Alligator mississippiensis: one gene and its partners. The main gene of each other region encodes a partner of the protein of the gene in region 2 in a complex. Links are inferred from orthologs where the notes say so. Each region holds a gene or a part of one and is shown on either strand. Other genes may lie near its edges.

What was found. Proteins that work in one complex are often made in the same cells at the same time.
Region 1: WRAP53 (region 2) and NHP2 share a complex: the UniProt entries of both Homo sapiens proteins name them as parts of the telomerase holoenzyme complex. The link is inferred for Alligator mississippiensis from reciprocal best matches to the Homo sapiens genes WRAP53 and NHP2.
Region 3: WRAP53 (region 2) and NOP10 share a complex: the UniProt entries of both Homo sapiens proteins name them as parts of the telomerase holoenzyme complex. The link is inferred for Alligator mississippiensis from reciprocal best matches to the Homo sapiens genes WRAP53 and NOP10.

The regions. Positions count from the first base shown.
Region 1 is NC_081832.1:79,494,968-79,501,858, forward strand, and holds the start of NHP2 (H/ACA ribonucleoprotein complex subunit 2), read right to left. Parts: upstream 3,012-6,891; 5' UTR 2,967-3,011; coding exon 2,816-2,966; intron 2,737-2,815; coding exon 2,667-2,736; intron 1,248-2,666; coding exon 1,142-1,247; intron 137-1,141; coding exon 11-136; 3' UTR 1-10. Other genes in the region: bromodomain-containing protein 8-like, read right to left, coding at 3,427-3,649, 4,541-4,609, 5,053-5,139, 5,913-6,058. UniProt on the Homo sapiens protein: Required for ribosome biogenesis and telomere maintenance. Part of the H/ACA small nucleolar ribonucleoprotein (H/ACA snoRNP) complex, which catalyzes pseudouridylation of rRNA.
Region 2 is NC_081838.1:24,752,260-24,759,889, forward strand, and holds the start of WRAP53 (telomerase Cajal body protein 1), read left to right. Parts: upstream 1-4,620; 5' UTR 4,621-4,811; exon of another isoform or gene 4,812-4,900; intron 4,901-5,818; 5' UTR 5,819-5,836; coding exon 5,837-6,021; intron 6,022-6,138; coding exon 6,139-6,237; intron 6,238-6,432; coding exon 6,433-6,541; intron 6,542-6,760; coding exon 6,761-6,849; intron 6,850-7,065; coding exon 7,066-7,156; intron 7,157-7,411; coding exon 7,412-7,544; intron 7,545-7,630. Other genes in the region: tumor necrosis factor, read left to right, coding at 1-2, 108-176, 277-312, 431-558, 3,495-3,561, 3,650-3,697, 4,048-4,166, 4,247-4,394 and 1 more. UniProt on the Homo sapiens protein: RNA chaperone that plays a key role in telomere maintenance and RNA localization to Cajal bodies. Specifically recognizes and binds the Cajal body box (CAB box) present in both small Cajal body RNAs (scaRNAs) and telomerase RNA template component (TERC).
Region 3 is NC_081830.1:36,381,551-36,387,022, reverse strand, and holds NOP10 (H/ACA ribonucleoprotein complex subunit 3), read right to left. Parts: upstream 1,571-5,472; 5' UTR 1,494-1,570; coding exon 1,440-1,493; intron 961-1,439; coding exon 820-960; 3' UTR 512-819; downstream 1-511. Other genes in the region: uncharacterized protein LOC102563792, read left to right, coding at 4,173-4,636, 4,796-4,924, 5,033-5,166. UniProt on the Homo sapiens protein: Required for ribosome biogenesis and telomere maintenance. Part of the H/ACA small nucleolar ribonucleoprotein (H/ACA snoRNP) complex, which catalyzes pseudouridylation of rRNA.

The DNA of each region.
Region 1 (6,891 bases), on a different chromosome or scaffold from region 2:
GTGCCCCATGTCACAAGGGCACAGGGAGGGCCGTCACCTCCTCCAGACACTCTCCGTAAGCCTCTGCATACTCCTCGTTGGGCTTGATCATGATCACGCAGGTCGGACGCTTGGAGCCTGCAGCTGTTCCCAGATCCTGAACGAGGGAAGGAGGGAGATGCTGTGAGGTTGGCACCGGGCAGGCAGCCCCCATGTCCCTGGGGCCGGTGCAGGGGCTTCCTCCCCTCCACCAGGGCAGCACCGTACAGCCCAGCCCACGCCTCCGCCCCTCTCCTAACCTGAGCCCTCCCCCTGCCAAGGCTCTAATGCCCACCCTCCTCTCCCCGTGGCACCCCCAGCAGCACGATGCTGCCCCTAAGGGGAGCACTGACACTGCCCAGTGCCCTGGGCACAGCAGGGCCGCCACTCTACCACACAACACGGAAGAGCAGGAGGCCAGTAGCAGGCAATGCTGTCGTGGTGCCAGCTGCACTGTGACCATGCCAGCTCTGCAGGGAACCCGCTGCAACACAATTAGGGATCACCCAAGCGTGCTAGTTCATCTCAGCCTGTCTCCAGCCTCTAACAGACCCCACAGCTGCTCCCTTCTCCAGTGCTCCAAACACTGTTCCCACCACAGCAGTTTAATAGAGGTCTCCATGGGCAAAGCAGCTCCAACCACCTTGGCGGGAAGCATCTGTCTCAGCTGGAGACCAGCTCAGCTCCTGGCCTGAAGCAGGACGATACTGGGCACCCACCGCAGAAGCCCCCTTCACTGAAGAAGCCAAGTCACAGTACTAAACTGTAGCCATAACTTCCTGCAACAGGGAGCCCTGGAGCTAGGGGCAGCATGGAGCCATTTCATTCCTTGTAGCCATTGAAATATGTGGAGTTCTCTACTGCTGGTCGCCAAGGGCAGACAACAGGAGCTCAACCAGCTAAGAAGCGTCGTCTCCTCCACGTGTAAGTCTCAGCTGTGAACCTGCTGCCTTGCACAGGAGAGCAGCAGCAGCAGCAAGGACCTTGGGCTAGGCCCCAGGGCAAGTTTATTGCCACCAGAAAGGGGAAGGGATAGAATCCGAGAGAGCCTGGCCCAAGACTGCTCCGTGCTCTCCCAACCCCACAGGGATTGTTGTTTTCAGACCCCTCCCACCTGCCTTACCGTCTTGGAGGGGATGTAAGCATAGGGCAGGCTCCTGTCTTCACACATCACGGGGATGTGGCAGTACACTTCAATGGGCAGCGTGTCTCCAGCCAAGACCACAATCCTGAAACAGCAGAGAAAAGTTGTGGGCCAGGAAGGCAGCGAGAGCATGAGGAGAGCGGATGAGTGGGGGCGAGAGGGCTGGTGATGGATAGCATTTGGGGCTGGCACCACTGGTCCCCCAGCAGGGCGAGGCCAGGTTTGGGTCAGAGACAGAATCGGCACCAGTACGGGAGTCCTGCGCGCACAGCACCGAGTAACAAGTCTGGTCCCAGGTCCCCACACATATGGGCTGGACACTGATCCTCTCGTCTCCTGTATGCTGAGACAGCTGAGAGAACACGAAAGAGGCAGGATTTGTTTGGCGGCATCTTTTACTGCACCAGCTCTCCGGATGGAGACCAGACAAGCTTCCACGCACAAAGCATCCTTCTTCGGTCTGGGAATGAAGCAGCTTCAGCCTAAGCCAAGTAGCTGGTAAAGCAATGTCACAGAAGTGGTAAACCAAAGGGATGGGAATAATTTAGAGGGGAAGCAGGCAACAAGCAAAGTAGCTACCAGACCAAGCAAACAGCAGTGCTCACATACTTCGGTTCCTCTAGTCCAACTTTCTGCGTGGTCCATCCCCACTGCTGATAACCCACGGAGCAGAGGAGGTCACTGCCCGCTCCCTTTGGAAGTGACCATTTGTATTTAGTAGGGTTGGAAAGCTGTTGTCAGAGGCAGGCAGCTGCCCACGGTAGTCCGAAGTCAGGCAGGCAGATTTACACCTCAGACCAATTCTCTGAATGTGTTAGTGCACGTCCTTGAATGACAGTCTTCAAGAGTCTGCCCTGCCTTCTGCCCAAGTCGTAATGATGTGGCTCAGCTTAAAAAGGCCCTGACCTAGGCCCACCCCGCCCCCTTTACAGCGCTCGATGATGCTCACAGCACTGGCCACCGCAGCATTTCGCGGCTCCACAAGACGCAAGCAATCAACTGCCCCGTTCTGCTCGGTTACCTGATCCGAGCAGCAACCACCCACGCGTGCAAAGCAGAAACCTCCGACCAACTGTTTTACTCCGTCAGCGGCGGGGCAGCACCCACAGACGCGAGCGAGCACCGCGTTCCTGTAGTGAGCAGCTGTAGGTGAAGCACCTACCTATCTGCACACAGCCGTTCCTCAGCTTTCACACCTGGGCTTTGTGAAATCCCTCTCTTCACGGTAAGTGCCAAGCCGCTGTTCTGTTACAAGGCAGCAGGCACCAGTCAAACACCTGAACGCTGCTAGGCACGGTCAGCAGCCGTCGGTTCCAACTCCTGCGAGCAACGGACCGGGCCGAACAAAAGCGACTGTTCTTCCTCGTACGCGGCTGCGCCAGCTTCTCTTCCTCTCCCAGACCCTTGCGTCGGGAAGCCTGCCGCAGCCCCCGCGCAGGTGGCGCAAGGAGCCGCCCCTCGGCGCTGCACGCGCTCGCCCCGCCCCGCCCCGCTCGGGTCTTACCCCTTCTCGCCCTTGTTGATGAACTTCTGCACCTCCTTCACCCCGCGCCGGATCTGCTTGTGCTTCGCGGCTGCACGAGAGAGACAACGTCAACGCCGGTTCCGCGCGGGCCCCGCTCCCCACGTGCGCCCCGCCCCGCCCCGCCCCACCTTTCTTGATGCACTTGTACAGCTTGCGCGTGAGCTTGCGCGACGCGAGCGGCTGCGCGATGGGGTTCAGGTTCGCCAGCTGCTCCCGGTACGTGCGCTCCGGGCCGCCCTCCGGCTCCGCCAGCGCCTCCGACTCCAGCTCCCGACCCATCTCCGCGCCGGCCACGTGCCGCGCCGCCGCGCGCTTCCGCTTCCGGGTCCGCGCGGCCCCCCGGGAAGGGCCGCGGCCCGCCAATCGCGCCCCCCGCCCGCAGGCCCCGCCCAATCAGAGGCGCCCGCCGCCCCGCCCCGCCCCGCCCCACCCCGAACAGACCACTCCGGGGCGGGCGGCCGAGCGAAGCGCCTTTATTTGGGGGGGGGGGGGGGGGTCGCGTCCGCCGCGCTCAGCACCTGCGGGCGGGACAGGCGGCGTCAGGCCGGCGGGAGGAGGGCGCCGCCCCCGCCTTCCTCCTCCCCGCTCCCGCTCCCGGGTCGCTGGAGCCTGGCGGGCCTGGCCCAGGAGAGCCCCGGCCCCGGCCCCGGCCCCGGCACAGCGCCCCAGGAATGCCCAAGCAGACGGGGCTTGCTTCTGGCGGGGCCAGGGCCCCGGACCGCGCGCCGCTGCTTACCGCTCAAAACAGCCTGTCCGCGGAGCACAGGAGGGCCTCGCCCAGCATCTGCAGCTGCTGCAAGACCTCCTGCTGCATGGCCAGGGCCGTGCGGTGCACGTGGTGGTCGGAGCTGTTGTACATGACGGCGTTGTGGAACATCAGCATGAGGTCGCGCTGGAACTGGGCCGTGCTCCGGATGTGGCCCTTGGACACACTTCTCTTTATGGTGGTTAAATCCATGGGTCTGCAGGAGGAGACCCCATCAAGTATCACAACACAGGGCCCCCCAGCCCCGACACCGCCGCCTCAGGCCTGGCGCCCCGTGACCCTGCACGCGCAGCAGTTCTCAACCCAGCTCTCAAGTCGGGAACCTCAAAAACCAGGAGGGTTTCGCCTTGTGACAGATACCTGCCACCCAAGCACTGTGCACTGGCAACTGCTTCTAAAACCTGAGCAGTACTGAGCACCAGACAAAGCAGCAACCTGAACAACTAGTTACATCAGCCCACACTGAGGGAAAATGAAACAGTAGTAAAAAAGATCTTAGGAACTAGGATCTACAGTGTGCATACAACACGGAGCTCTCGGGGCAATAATGCACCGCCAGGAGCAATGAACGGTCTTGGGGGCGGGGGAGACCGGGCAGCGGGGAAAGCTGTAGCCGAGCGCGCGTCGCTCGGTGAGCTGCTGGGGCTGGGGCTCAGGTTCCTGCCGCAGACCACACAGCCCCGTCCCCCAGGGGAAGCGGCCGATTCCTGAGGGGTTCGCAAGTCAGGAACATAACAGTCGCCAAACACCTAAGGGTGCAGATGTGAAGGATGGAGTCAGAGGAGTCCATGTGGCTGTTAGGGGCATGTTATAAATAAGGAAACTGGGTCTTTGGGACAAAACTCCCCTCGGGAGAGCGGGGCTGGGCAGGGTGGAAGCCCCGTAACGCAGGGCTAACCCCAGGAGTGTAAGCCACCGAGGGCCTTCCCGCCCCAGTCTGAGGGGGCAGGTACCCTGTGACAAGCCTGGGGCAGGTTTCCTAACCCAGCCGCCTTGGACTTTCTCTCTCTGGCAGCTGGATCCAATGAGGCCAGAGAAAGCAGGTGGAAAGGGTCTCAAGCAGCTCTCCTGCCTTCTCCCAACTGACCTTTTCACCACATCCTTGTACCCAGGGGCTTGCTTGTCTGACACTGGCTTCAGGAACGGGCCGCTGTATCTAGGGGACAAGCCCAAAGAGAATGAGGCGAGATCCAGGTCTGCCCTGGCTGGCAGCTGACTCCCAAAGAGGGAGTGGGCTGTGGGCAGTGACACACCGTTGCTTGAATGGGCTCATCTGCCTGCCAGTGGCCCCTGGTTACAGTGGCTGGTGCAGCCAGCACCAGCAGAGGAAAGTCTGAGACCCTGCTGGGGCTGGCTGAAGCCAGACTTAGCCCTCCACATCCTGCACAGACCAGCGGCTGCCAAACAAAGTAATAAGAATGGAGGTGCAAGGCCAGAGCCCTGGAGCAAGGACCCCTTCCTGCTGCAAGGTAGGCAACATGAGAGAGGAATGCAGGAGAAACAGCTGGATTGCTGGTGCCTTCAAGCAAGAGGGGGTGCTGATGGCACTGGGGAGCCAGGGAGAGCATGGACCCACCCCACCACACCCTCCATACACACCTGTGACTGGCTATCATCTTCCAGATGGACAGCAGAGTCTTTTTGAAATGCATGCGCTGCAGAGGGTCATCCCAGCTCAGCTGCACCCTGCACAAGACACCACCCAGTCAGCATGCCTGGAGGGTCAGGGAGAGGCCTACACTGCTAACCTCCCACCCACCATGTGTGGCCAGAGATGTACAGGGCAGGTGCCCCTTGGGGCAGCATTTCCCAGTGCACTCCTTCCTGAAGTCTCTTTGGAGACCCTCCCTTAGGATTTACCTGTGCCCATGACCCAAGTCTACCCTGTCTGGGACCACCTCTCTGGCTGCTGAGCCAGAAGGCATCAGAACCAGGAGAACAGTCGCTGCACTCTGGCAGGAGACTTTTGAACAGGGTCTGTCTTCTCTCTCTGTTGGGAGTGAAGGGTGTCCTCATTTCTGCTGCACCTTTCTTGGTTCATCTCCTGACCCTCCTCACCCACACACCACCCAAGGGAGAATCTGCAAATGAATGGCCTGTTTCTTGAAGAGCATTTGGGTCCCAGTGCAGGGAGTGGGGAGGCCGGCCCCACTGCTCAGTGTACCATATGCTCCCCTCAAGGACAGTGCTGGCAGGCTGCCTGCAGGACTGCCTGGCAGAGCAGGTCCCCAGCTCAGGCTAGGCCATGGTCACTTTGTCCCCACTCCCCTTTTGCTGCACCTGCAGTAGAACCAACACCCAAAGGTCGGAAGCCCATCACCAGCAGCGACCGGGGCCATCTCTTCCTCCACTTTCTGCTGGCTTGCCACCCTCCCCAAAGTGACCTGCCCCCTGCCAATCCCTGGCTTGGCCTCACATAGACAGCTCCAGTGAAGGCGCCACAGGGCTGCACTACTCACAGCTGCGAAGGTGCTGGGTTCATGTGTATAACATCTGCCGGGGAACCCGCGGAGGTTCTGCAGCCGCTATCTCCTTGTGCAGGGAATACAGTGTTCCCCTGCCTCTCCTGCTGGGCTTGTCCTGGCCCCTCCTCCTCAGCCTTGCCCTGGAGGACAGACAGAGAGGAGTGGCTGCTCAAAGCCAGGGTCTCAATGACAAGGTTGCTGGAAAAGCCCCATCCAGAGGTGGCACTTGCAGGAGCCAACCTTCAAATCCTGGTCCCCAATCTCCAGGAAGTGGGTGTAGCAAGTGGGTACACAAGGAGCCCCCCAGTCCTGTCTGAGGTGCCGTAAGTTGTGCCATGAGCCACAGGTCTCACTGTGGATCTGAGAGTCACCTTCAGTCTCCAGTGGGGATCGACAGCCCACCACTAGCATTACGAGGGAGGCTGTGGACACGCCGCAGGTAGAGACCGGGAGGAGACAGCAGAGTAACAGAGAAAGCTGGGAGAATGCAGACAGAGGATGGAATGTGCTTGTTCCCTCACAAGCTCCTTGTGACAGAGCAACAGTGAATGGAGCCTGCCAGGGGGTGCTGAGCAGTGCTGCTGCAACAGCCACTTCTCCGTGGAGCACAGGGACCATGGCTGTGTAGGACAACCCTTCTGCCTGGATGGCAAGCAGCACTGAGAGAAGAGAGAGCTTCCCAGTGTCCAGGACAGGGAACTGCCTAGGGCAAGTGGGTAAAGAAAGCCCCAGAAAGTGGAGGAAATTTGTTCTGCAGGACTTTGAAAACTGGGTGGGTTCTAATGCTCCACGGTCCAAGACAAGGCTGCCCTGGCTCTGTAGAAGCAGGGGAGCCCCACAGGAATTTTTCGTCCCTAATGTCTGATTCTGTGACACGCTAAAGCAAAGAGCCTGGCCCCAGGGAGCAAGGGATTGTCCTGCTGTATCATCGCTGTTACTCAGGGTATGGTACTACCTAGAGGGGTGCCACTGA
Region 2 (7,630 bases):
TGGTGAGTCTAGCGCCCCCGCTTCGGGGTGGGGGCACTGGGAGCCTGAACCCCTGGGTTCTCTCCAGGCCGGGGGAGTCCCTGCTCATGTCTCCCCGCTCCCCACAGCGACCAAGGGCAAGAGGCCGCGTCCCCGCAAGTCCACGCCAACGCCCCTGTATGCAGCACACTACAAAGGTGAGGGGGGGGGTTCTTGATGGAGGAACTTAGGCCTCTGGGCTCCCAGCCCCCCTGATCCCCCAAGCTCTGTCTGACCCCCTTTGTTTCTCTGTTCCAGTGCAACCAGCTGATGGGCAGACTGGGATCTACACAGGTAACTGGGATGGGGTGGGCAGCCAGGGGAGCCCAGACACCTGGGTTCTCTCCCAGCTTGGGCAGCCCCACAGTTCCTGTGCTCCCCCTCACCCCATGCTGCCCCCCCTCCCCCATAGCGGGGCCAGATGGGACCATCCGGGGCTGGGCTGAGACGTGGCTGAACGCGAGTAGCCCCCTGCGCTACGACGAGGCACGCGGCGTCTTCACAGTCACCCATGGTGGCCTCTACTATGTCTATGCCCAGGTGCGCCGGATACTGGGGTTCCCTCCGGCACGGGGGCCTGGATTCCCGGGGTCCCTCCCTGCCGGGGGCCCGGACATTTGGGTCCCTCTGATGCCCGCTCCCCCCGCAGGCGCACTTCGACGAGGCGGCCTGGGTGTACGTGAAGCTGGAGCTGGCGTTGGGGGTGGCGCCGGCACTGCGCTGCCTGCACCAGCTGCCCCCCCCCAGCGCAGGCCCCCCTGAGCCACAGCTGCGCGGGTGTCGTGTGGCTGGGCTGCTGCGCCTGCCCTCCGGTGCCACCCTGCGCCTGGGCACCGTGCCCCGTGTGCGTCTTAAGCCCGACGCCTCCCTCACCCACCTGGGCCTCTTTCAGCTCCGCTAGCTTGAGCCTGGGCACCTGGGTTTGCCCAGGCTGGGCCCCTCCCAAGCCCAGAAGCCTGGGTCCCATGGGGCTGGGACGCCTGGGTCCCCCCAGGGCACGGTGTCCCTGGGTTCCCCAGGGCAAGCATCTCCGAGCCTGGACATCTGGGTTCCCTTAGGTCAGGGCACCTCAGGACCCGGATGCCCGGGTTCCCCCAGGTCAGGGTGTCCCAGGGTGCCTGGGCTCCCCCAAGTTGGGCATCTCAATTCCCCTCGGTCAGGGTCAGGTTGTCTCGGCCAATAGGAAGCTAGGGTGGCAGCAGCTGCATTTGCTGAGCCGAGCAAGGCGGGGCAGGGCCCTGCTGGGAGCCAATGAGCACCTCCCACACGGGTGGGAGGGGGTGGGGCCTCGCATTGGCCCCTTCCCCCAGCCTGATGTGGTGGGGCCAGGGTGGGAGAGGGGCCTGACAATTTTATACACAGAAATTTATTGTAATAGAAATAAAACCAGTGGAACCAGTGACAGGCTTGGCCGCAGACTGGGTGCCCGGACTCCTGGCTCCCCTCCTGCTTGGGGAAGGGAGCAGGGAGGGGGAGGAGCTGGGAAGCCCTGGACACCTGTGTTCTCTCCCTGCTGGGGTTGGGCGTACGGGCCTCAGCCTCCCAGGAACCTAACGGGGCCTGATCTCATTATGCCCAGGCCCACCCCAGAGCTGGCTGCATCTTGGTGCTAACCTGGGGGTTCCTGTTACACTCAGCCATAACCCACCCCAGAGCTGGCTGCATCTCTGTCAATTTAGGGGTCTGTTCTATGCAGCCAGGATGCACCCCAGAGCTGGCTGCAGTTCCCTCCTAGGGTTCTCTGTTACATCCAGTCATGATGCGCCCCAGAAGTGGCTGCGTCTCAGTGCTGGACAAGGGGTCCCTGTTACACCCAGCCATGACCCACCCCCAGAGCTGCATGAATCTCAGTGCCAACCTACGTGTCCCTGTTCTATGAAGCCAGGACCCACCCTAGAGTTGGCTGCATCTCAATGCTGGACAAGAGGTTCCCGTTACACCCATCCACAACCCACCCCAGAGCCAGCTGCATCTCCCCCCCAGCTTCTCCCACCCCACTGGCACCCCAGACACCTGGGTTCTCTCCCAGTTTGTAGTGGGGGCAGCCACCCGCCCCCATGCTGGGCGCTGCATACTCTTGGCCACCGGCCCGGCTTCCTGCCCCCCCCCCGCCCCCTTGCGCAAGAGCCTCTGGCGCCTGCAACTTGGTGGCCACGGCCTGCACCCGCTGGCCACAGAGCCCTGGACGCCTGGGTCCTCTGGCGGGGAGCCCTGGATGCCCGGGTCCTCTCTGGGCTCTAAAAAGGGGAGGGTGCAGGGACACCTGGCTGGCCTGGACTCCTGGGTCCTTTTGCAGGGGGTCTCCTCATGAGTGGGGTCCCTGGACGGGGGTTGGTGCGGCCCCCCCTGGCGCCATGGCTGGCAGGGGGGGCAGTGCTGGGGGTCCTGGCCTGCCTGGCAGCCCTGGGGATGCAGCAGAGGCAGGTGGGCACCCTGCGGGCACAGCTGGAGCAGCTCCAGGAGCGGCTGGAGGCCAAGACCTACGGACGCCCCCAGGTGAGACCCCCACACCAGCCTCTGACATCTGGGTTCTCGCTGCAGGGAGCCCAGGAACCTCCCCCCACCCCCGGCACCTGGCTCTCTGCTCTGGGAGGGGGGAAGTGGGGTCAGGGGCGTCAAAGTAGGGAGCCCTGAGAGCCGGGACTCCTGGGTCCTCTCTCAGTCATGTGGGGGGGCTGCAGGGAGCCCTGACGCCTGGGTTCTCCCCCTGATCTAGGAGGGGGGCTGGGGGCCCGGATGCCTGGGTCCTCTCCCTGCTCCGGGAGGGTGCTGGCAGCTCAGACGCTCGGGTCCTCTGCCAACACCAGGGCTGTGGGAGATGGTGGCGCCCAGGCCTTCTCCAGCTCAGGGGGGTTCCAGGGGTCTCTTACCTGGCCCCATCCTGGTCCCTTGTGCTTGCCGGGAGCTGGTCTGGGGGGGGGTCAAGGGGGTTTAGATGCATGTGGCCTGGCCCTGGGGGGAGATCTTCAGGGGGTTAATCATTAACCCTCCCCCAGGGCCTGGCCCAGGGCCAGGAGGAACCAGGGAGCAGGAAGCAGTGACTGGGGAAAGCACCCGCCGGGGGCGGGAGGCTGGAGGCCAGTCAGGGAACCCAGGTGTCCTGGCTCTGCCCAAAGCCCTCCCGAGCTGGAGGGAACTGAGGCATCCGGACAGCACCCCCCCCCCCCCCCCCCGGGAACACAGGACCCCGCAGAAGACCCAGGCATCCAGAGCATGCGCACGCACACAGATGAGCACCCCCAGGACACACCCATATGCATGCACTACCCTGGTGTCTGGGACAGATGCCCCCCCAGGTGTCCAGGACACACGCACACGTGCACAGCCCAGGTGATCTGGACACAGACATGCACATTGCTGGGGCCAGCTAGTGGGGGCTGGGGGGGGGGGTCAGTGCAGGGCTGGAGTGGGGCTCTGGGGGCCCGGGTGTGGTGGGGGTGTGCAAAGGGGCATTAACCCCTTCCCATCCGCACCAGGTATCACCCCGCAGCAGGAGGCAGCTCGAAAGGCCGTCACCCTCCCCCGGCCCACGGCACCAGCACCGTGAGTTCGGCTCTGACCCAGGCCCAATCCTATGGGGGGGGAGTTGGGGGGGTTTATGACCTCAGGGGGTGTCTGTCCCCCCTCCCAGGCCAACGCACGGCCCTGCACCTGGTCCCCAGCCACTGCTCCACCAACGGTGAGTGTTGGGTGCTCCTCAGCATGGGGTGGGAGCAGGGGGGCCTGGGAGCCCGGACACCTGGGTTCTCTGGGAGCAGATGGGGGCTTCAATGGAGGCATGGCGGGGGAGGCAGACACCTGGGTTTTCTGTTGTGATTGGGGGCCCAGATACCCGATTCTCCAGGAGGGGATGGGGGTATAGGGGCCCGGACACCTGGGTCATCTGGGGGGGGCAATAGGGATAGGTGGGGGCTGGATGCCTGGGTCCCTGAGGGGGCAGGGACATAGGCCTGCACCCTTGGGTCTTCTCTGGGAGGGGATGGGAGCGTTGGGGTCCCCGGACGCTGGGGCTGAGCGCAGTCCCCGCAGCTGAGGGTGACGTGACGGAGCTGTGGTGGGCGCCGGCGCTGCGGCAGGGCCAAGGCCTGGAGCTGAGCGGCTCCATCGTCACTGTGCGCCAGGCGGGCCTCTACCTCGTCTACAGCCAGGTAGGGCCCTGCTCCCATGCACGCGCCCTCGTGCACGCGCCCTCGTGCACGCCCCCCTTCACCATCTCCCTTCTGCCCAGGTGCTGTTCCACGACCCCACGTTCACCATGGGGCAGGTGCTCTGGCGTTTGCCCCCCGGGGGCCGGGGCCCGGGACAGATCCTGCTGCGCTGCGTCCAGAGCATGCCCGGGCAGCGGGAGCAGGCCTACAACAGCTGCTACAGCGGAGGTGGGCGGGGCCTCCAGGAGGGGGTTGGGGCGGGGGCACCTTCGTCTGCTCGGGAGGGGTCCGGGACCCACCCTGAGGCTCCGCCCCTTCTCGCCCCGTAGGTGCTTTCCACCTGCAGCGGGGGGAGGGGCTGCGCCTGGCCGTGCCCCGGGCCAACGCCTCCCTGGACCTCACCCCCCACGGCACCTTCCTGGGCCTGGTGCGGCTCTAGAGGGACCCGGGCGCCCGGGCAGCGCCCCGCAAAAGGGAGCCCGGGCGTCGCCGAGAGAGACGGTGGGACCCAGGCGTCCAGAGCCGGCCGCCACCAGCGGGAAGGGACCCAGGCATCCGGGCGGTGGCGCCGAGACGGGGAAGGCCCCAGGCGTCCGGGACGCCGCATGGACACGTGGGGAAAAAGGACCCAGGCGCCCGGGGCAGGTGGGCGCAGGAGGCGTTGCGACCACCCGGGCACGCCAACGAGCACCGATTCCTCCCCGTAGCAACAAGGGCATCACTCCCGAAATCTCCGTGAGGCCTGAGGCTCCTTGTCGCCGTAGCAACGGGGGTGGGCCCGGGCGCCTGGGGTCCACCTCGGGTGGGGGGGTAACAAAGGGGGTGGGGGGGGGGGGAAGGCGAGAGCCCGGGGTCCCTCAAGCCCTTGGGTTGCGAGTGAGGGGCACTGGCTGGGCCGGGCCTGAGGCTTATTGACGGGACGTACGAAAGGTTTAAATACAGCCAAGCCGCCGAGATCTCGTGAGATTGGGCCCACATCTCGCGGCATTTTCAGGCAGGATGGCCAGGGTAGCGCGAAATTTCGCGCGGTACGACTTGGAACCGAAGTTGCGCGAGGCCCTCACCGAAAGACCGCGGGATTTAGCGGCCGCGGCACCTCCCCGGTCGAAATTCTCGCGAGATCTTGCCAAAGAAGCGCTCGCGACAGGTCAGGGCCGGTGCAGGGCTCTCGCGAGATGGGTCGTCGAGTTCACGCGGGAGCGGGAGGTTTGAGCTGGAGTTCACGAGTTCTCGCGAGAGTTGGTGTCATGGCGGCTTCCAGCTGCTGAGCAGCGCGTGTCTCTGCGGGAGGCCCGGGCAGGTGATGGGACACTCCAGCACCCCCCTCCCTGACCGCCCCAGGGCAAAGGGGCAGCCCACCCCCCGACCTGATCCCCCAGAGCAATGGGCAGTCCATCCCCCCAGCCTGACCCCCCCACCAAGATCAGTTCAAGTCCCCCCCCCCGCATTAACTCCCCCAACCTGGAGTAATGGCACAGTCCGCCCCCCCACCTGCCCCTCCCCCCGGGCACTGGGACAGCCGAATCCTCCAGCCTGGCCCCCCGCACGGGGCAATGGGACAATCTACCCCCCAGCAGGTGTGAATGGGGTGAGGGGGAACCCGGATGCCTGGGTCCCACTGCCCTCCATAAACCTCTGCCTCTCTTCTCCAGACCCCTCTCCTGGCAGGCATGCCCCACCCCGGATCTGACACCCCCACTGCCATGGAAGAAGCACCTCCAGACTCTGGAGCTGTGGGGGAGCCTGCTCCTGTCCCCCCAGAACCCCCTGACACCCCCTGCCTGGGGGATGCAGGGGAGGGGCCGGAGCCAGGGGTGGGGCTGCCCGAGGCGGGGCCGGGAGAAGAGGAGTATTAGTGAGTATGAGGGGTGGGCCCGGACACCTGGTTCTGCCCAGGCCGGGGGAGGGGGGGGGTCAAAGTGGGGAGGGGTCTGGACTCCTGGCTCCACCTGATACCCCGCCTCCCCCCCAGCCTGCCAGCCTATGACTTTGGGCGCCCCCCTGTGCTGCTGACAGGCGCCTGGGCCGAGTATGGCCACGTCCCTGAGAACTTCCTCAAGGGCTGCAAGTGGTGAGACACCCCCCCACACACATACACAGAGGGAAAGGGAAGGGGGTTTGGGGCGGGGCGGGGTGGGTCCAGCGCTGGGGTCAGAGGGAGGCCCTGACCTGCAGGGGGCAGCACCCCAAAATCCCCCCCCATCATCCCAGGGAGGCAGCTGGGAGACAAAGGAGAAACTGATTTTGGCACGTGCATCCCTTGCAGGGCTCCGGACGGCTCCTGCCTGCTGAGCAACAGCGCCGACAACACCTTGCGCATCTATGACCTGCCGCCCGAGCTGTACAGCCCCACAGGGGGGCCTGCTGCTGAGATGGTGGGGCCTGGGAGGGGGGGAACCCAGGCGCCCGGGCTCCCATCCCCTCCCTCCTCCAGCCCCTTCATTGCCCTCCCTGGAGGGGCACGGGGAACCCAGGCATCTGGGAGCCTGTTCTTTGCAGGCCACAGGGAACCCAGGTGTCTGGGCTCCCAGCCCCCACCCCCCTCTCAGAGCCAGAGGGAACCCAGGTGTCCGAGCCGCCCCCTTCCTCCCCAGAGCCCAGTGCTGTGCATGGCCGAGGGCGACACCATCTATGACTACTGCTGGTTCCCGCTGATGAGCTCGGCTGAGCCGTCCACCTGCCTGTGAGTTGTCCTGCCCTGCCCAGGGCCAGATCCTGCCTAGCCAGGGCACTCGGCCTGGCTGTCCCCTTCTCGTCCCCCCCCCCCCAATCCTTGAGCCTGGTTACATTTGGCTGCTCTGCCTGGAGCTGGCTGCATCTTGGGGGTTTAGGCTCTTCCCCCAGGGGTGGGACAGCAACTGGCTCCGCCTCCTCCCCTCATGTCTGCTCCACCCCCCAGCGTGGCCAGCAGCTGCCGGGACAACCCGATCCACGTGTGGGATGCTTTCAGTGGGGAGCTGCGGGCCACATACCGCTGCTACAACCACCTGGTGAGTGTTTGCGTACCTGCGTGTCTAGGCTCCCAGCTCCCTACACCTTAGCCCCCCCACCAGATCTCACTTTCCCCCAGAGCTGCAGGGAACAGAGGTGTCCAGGCTGCCTCTACCCCCACCTCCACCCCCTGGCGTGGCCCTGGGGTGAGAATCCAGGCATCCAGGCCCTGCCCCACCCCTTCTTCCACTCCTCCATCCCCTGGCAGTGCTGGGGGGAGACCCCAGGTGTCCTGATGCACCCCCTCCCCCCAGGACGAGCTGACAGCCGCCCATTCGCTCTGCTTCACCCCGGATGGGGCCCAGCTCTTCTGTGGCTCTGACAAGACTGTGAGGGTCTTCGACACTGAGCGCCCAGGCCGGACCTGCGAGGTGCGGCCCACCTTCGGTGAGACATCCCCCTCCCCCGCCACCAGGGTGAGGGGGGGTCCCTGGGACGCCTGGGTTTCATGCCCACTGAGAGAGCTGGGGTCA
Region 3 (5,472 bases), on a different chromosome or scaffold from region 2:
GGCTGCTGGTGGCATGGCGGGCCAGCATCTGTGGTAAGTATTATTTCTGCACTCCTTAAGTGGGTGCTTTAGTTACACTACTGATGCCAGTCCTGAATGCCAAGCTAAGCAGCTGAGTGGTGCAGTGCTGGGATACTAGCATTCAGTATCTTTCCCTCTCAAATTGAGCAGCAGAGACTCAAGCTTATTCTCTTCCATCAAGCTTGCAGTCTCCTCTCTTTCACTTTGTAGAATCTTCCCCACCTTTCCTGCCATGCGGCCCAACCACCTGATCCCATATCAGACCCTGAATGCAGCTTTCCCCCACATCTAATAAAGGCCATCTCACATTTCTAATATGATGAATATGCTTCCCTACTAAAACAATGAAAGCTTAGTCAGAAACCTTCCCTTGTTATGCTTAAGTTCCTAACACAACATGAACATCTGCACAGCATGAAACAAATGAGTACAGCTTCACCACTACTAGAGGGTTAAAAGCTCAGCAGGGAAGGAGAGTCTGGGCTAAGGGTAGAAATAAACATCAGATAATTTATTGGCAATCAAAAGACAAACCATGTTTTCAACTACAGTGATTAACTCTGGCTTGATCAAAAGGGGAATCAAAGCAGTTTTTCCACAGACAAGAGGAGAATGGGGAAAGGTTTTAGGATGTGTTTAGGATCAGCAGTCAGATCACAAGGAGAGGGATAAACAAAGGAGTGGAAGATGAGTTGGTGCAGAGGGAGCCACTGAGCCAGCTTCAGCTGAGCAGGACTGTCCCATTTCAGGGCAGTCAGGGGCACGTTTCTGTGCTTCCAGCTGGGAAAAGGCCTGCCCTCACATAATGGGCCGCGGCTGCTGTGTCATGAGGACGCCAAAGCGCTTCTTGATGGTGACCCGGTGGCGGGAGTATTTGTCATCTGGGGAGAAGCGGGCAGGATGTGCAGAGGAAGTCACTTGGCCAGAGGGGCTTACTTTCTACAGGGAAGGAAATGGAAAGAGATGATATCATACCAGGTCACGGCAACTGGGTCCTAAAATACAAATACCCAAGTCTGGCCACCCTGACGTCCCCACCCCCCACGGCTCCACTTTTGTGCTTCACTCACTGCCACCTCCTCTCCCAGCTCTGAGCCTCCACCCAGGTGGCGAGGGCATGTCACTCAACCCCCAACTCGCTGCCCCCCCAAGCCCTGAGCTCCACGGGCACAACTCTGCCATGACTACTCAATCCTGACCCCCAGGTCCCACCCCAGCCCTGGGGCACAACCCCCCTGCCCCACCTGCCCTGGGCTGTCCCACTGCCTGCCTCCCCCGACCAGGGGGATGCAAACCTGCACCCAGGGGCAGAGCGACACACGGCCCCGGCTGCACAGGACGTGCGCGGGAGGCTGGAAGAGATCTTGGGGCAGATAAGGGAAGGCGAGAAAGGTCCCGGGGCTGCGGCAGGGGCTCACCTTGAGGGTGTACACCCGGTCCCCCTGCTCGTTGAGATAGTACTGCAGGAACATGGCTCCGGCTCCGACCCGGCCCCAGATCGCAGCCGCACACGTGCTCCCAGCGCGCCCGCTCCCGCGACTGCCAGCGGGGACCGCCCCGGCGCACGGGGGGGGCGGGAGCTGCGGCCGCCTCTCCTTCCCCTCCCCGGGCACTCTGGGACTTGTAGGAGACGCCGGTCCCGGGCAGCCCGCCCAGCGCCCCGTTTCTGCCTCAGCCTCTGGAAATACGTTGTGCTTGGCCAGGAAATGAACACGCCAAACCAAGCTGCAGGTCCTCCAAACGCGGGACTTGATCTGCTTGCCGAGGGTTTCTCCAGGGCCTGAGGTCTTGGTTGTAGCCGTGTTGGTCTAAGGAGCTAGGCGGGTCCTGCCCTTTGTCTTCCAAATTTCCAGCTCTTTCCTTTTGTACAGACAGCCTCTTTTCTGCCTTGTATGACTGCAGTCTCCCTTATTCCCCTTTGGCTCCTTTACTATTGCTTCCATCCAGGAAGAGCACACACCAACTGCAGATGCTTCCTCAGCCTGGCCAAGGGTAAACCTGAAAGCTTGCAAAGAAGAATTTTTCCAGTCAGTGGTGACAGACAGGTAGAGGGTGCATGGGGGTGCACGTGCCCCCCCGAGAGCGCAGGTGCACCCTCTGACAGGCTGTGCTCACCACTTCAGTGATGGGTGTGGGGGCAGGCCGGAGAGCAGGTACCCCCCTGAAAGCACCAGCCAATTGCTGCAGGCTGCAGCACAGCGATCGGCCATCACAGGAACGGCTCCGGGGGCCCCCCCGGTAGCGAGATCACCTTTGTGGAGGGGGGACTCCTCCCCCACCCCAAGTTGGTAGGACTGGTCGTAGGGTGGGGCACGTGCCCCCCCTCCACAAAGGTGGCACCAGTCGCCCATGTCTCCAACTATTTGAGCTGGTCTAATAAAAGATATCAGATTTACCCAAAGAACCTTGTCTGCCTGCGTCCTTAGACCAACATGGCTACAACCTACACCCCCTTACTCACCTTTGCCCCCCTCCCCCCACCCTTCCCTGCTTTACCTTTTATTTTCCTGATTTCTACCTATTTACGTTCTCACTGACATCCCGCCACACTTCTAGCTTCTCTCATTTCTTGGAGTCTCAGAACAGCAGAGACTTCCTATGCCTGAAGAAGGGTGATTGCACCTGAAAGCTTGCAATGAACTTTTCCCCAACTACTCAGTTGGTGTAATAAAAGATATCAAATCTACCCAAAGAGCCTTGCCTGTTCAAGGACCTGGGCAGGCAAGGTTCTTTGGGTCAATGTGATGTCTTTTATTAGATAAAAGACTGAGTAGTTAGAAAAAAGTTCTTTGCAAGCTTCTGGGCGCAATCACCCTTCTTCAGGCATAGGGAGACTCAGCTGTTGTTCTGAGATCTCTAAGGAATGAAAAAAGCTAAAAGTGCAACAGGAGGTCAGTGAGAATATAAATTAGATGTCGCTGTTGAGGTTAGCTTCTTTTTTCTTCATGTTGTGAAGTTTCCAGTTCAAATGGCAAAATTCGATATCTTCCATGTGCAGTTTCATCTCCTAAAATGCATGCGCTCTGGCTCCACACTTTGCTCTCTAGTCCGGAAACCTGAGGCTTTTTCCTCATGTTGACTCCCTAAATGCTCCAGGACTTTCAATGGCTCAGCTGTGCCCCTGCAGTCTGAGAATTGCAGCCTCTCAAGTCCCCCGTGTACCCTAGGGCATGTAGGTTCTTGTTCAACGTTGGATGGCAGCTGTAGATTCTGCTACCCACCTGTTTTGGGAGTTGTTTTCAGGCCATGATTCATTCTTGGAGGGGACAAAGCCATGTGAATAAGCCTGCTTTTTACAATTCCCTAATACAGTTGTAAATCTCTAATACCCTAGTGCAACACAGGAGTTGTAGCCTCCTAAACCCTGGTTGCCTGCCAGTAATGATTTTGATACTGCCATTTCCATTCAGCCATTTTGCTTTAGCGTACCCTAAATTGAACCATTGAATGCAATTTGGGGAGCATCTTGGTTATTCCTACATTGTTCCTAAAAACCCTGGAGTGAGGGACTGAGAGTTCTTTGTGTATGGGGAGTGCAAAGCTGGTTAGCGGTGAGGAGCCCTGGCACACCTGGGAATGTGTGAAGCCCATGCCTGGAAGGGCAGAGGGCCTCCAGGATGGGACTGGGGCATCTACAGAGCTTGGAGAGGAGGGAAGAACTGCGATTAGTCTCTGACTGCGCACACCACGCCCGACTCAGAACCCGCATACCCCCAGATTCCAGATTTGTTTTGATTCAACCTTCCTGCTGGGACCTGGGATACCAACCTGGGATAGCCTTGATCCTTCTCAGACTTACTCCTTAGCTGGTGCCCCTGACGCCCCTGTACACTCCACCATGTCATCCCCCCCTGCACACAAAGGACCTGCATTCCCTGCCCACCTTTGCGTGGTTCTCAACACCCACTCTCGTTCCACACCCAGCTCAGAACCCCTGAGGCCTCCAGGTTCCGGATTTGTTTTGATTCAACCTTATTGCTGGGACACCAACCTGGGACAGCCTTGATCTTTCCCAGACTTGCTCTTGAGCTGGTGCAGCTGACACTCCTGCACACCCTATCCTGCCATCCCCCCTAAAAGACGGAGGAGAGAAAGGAGCCCCATTTCTTCCCCATCTTTCTCTGATTCTCAATACCCATGCACTTTCAGCTATGAGCTCCCAATCCCAACAGCCTCCCCCACCATCCCCAATCCTGCTTCCTGCCTTCCCTGGCACTGCTCTGCTCCTGACCTCACCAGATGCTCCCAATGGCAAATTGATTGTCAAATTGAAGGAGGAGGGGACCCAGGAGGCCCCCTGTGGGCAGACTATCATCCTTACAGCGGCTCCTGCAGATTGGGTCCCCCCACGGCAGGATGGGACCCCTATTCGACTTCAATTTGGAGCTGGGATCAGGACCATTCTGCTGACAAAAGCTGGGGAGGAGCCCAGAGTGAGGAAAACGGGGGAGTCGGAAGGTGCCCCAACGCAGCCACTTCCTCCCAGTGACTCCTCCTCAGCCTGCACTTCCAAAGGGGTCTATGAGAACTTTCGGCGCTGGCAGCACTACAAAGCCTTGGCAAGGCAACATTTCCCAAACACACCCGATGCAGAAGCACTGGCCTGTTTCTTCATGTGAGAGATGGAGGGAGACCAGGGCTGGGAAAGCAGAGGGCCTGTGGGTTAAGATTGAGGGGCACTGGCAAAGCTGTTTGCCTTAAAGGAGCTTGCAAGGGGTTTGTGTTTCAGGATGAGGGGCATTCTCTGGCATTAACCCTCTTCCTCCCTCTTCAGCCCCGTCCTGCGCTCCCTGACTCGCCTGCGCCCTGACATGACTCTGGAGGAGGGCGTGCCACGTGCTGTGCAAGAGTGGGAGCACAGCAGCAACTTTGAGCGCATGATCTTCTATGAGATGGCTGAGAAGTTAGTGGGGCTCTTCTAGAGTCTGTCCCAGGTTTCCTGCTTCTGGCACCTTGGGGCAGAGGGACTCAGACAATGCCACCCTTTTTAGACTCTGTCTCTCTTCCTCAGGTTTATGGAGTTTGAGGCAGAAGAGGAGCTACAGATCCAAAAGATGAAGCTCCTGAGTAACTCCCAGTTCCAGGCCCCCCCTGCTGAGCCCATCATGCCCCTTGCAGTCCCTGCCTCTGGTACCAACCAACAAGGTATTCTGCCCTCCCAGCCCACCAGTACAGACATGGAAACCTGTCCCTTACCACCAGTAAGGGAGCCAGTGGGCAGAGCCATTATCTCTCTGATGGATTTGGTCCCCTCTCCTTTTGCTAGTATTTTGCAAGATTCATTATTATTGTACAGACATAGAACTTTTGCACATTTTTGCACAGACCTTGTACATTTTTACAGGGGTGGGGGTGTTGGCATGAATTCACAGCTTTGTATATCTTTTACGTCAAGGCTTCTCAACCCTGCTGAACTCAAGTCACCCCTCACTGGACTCGATGCACCCTTCT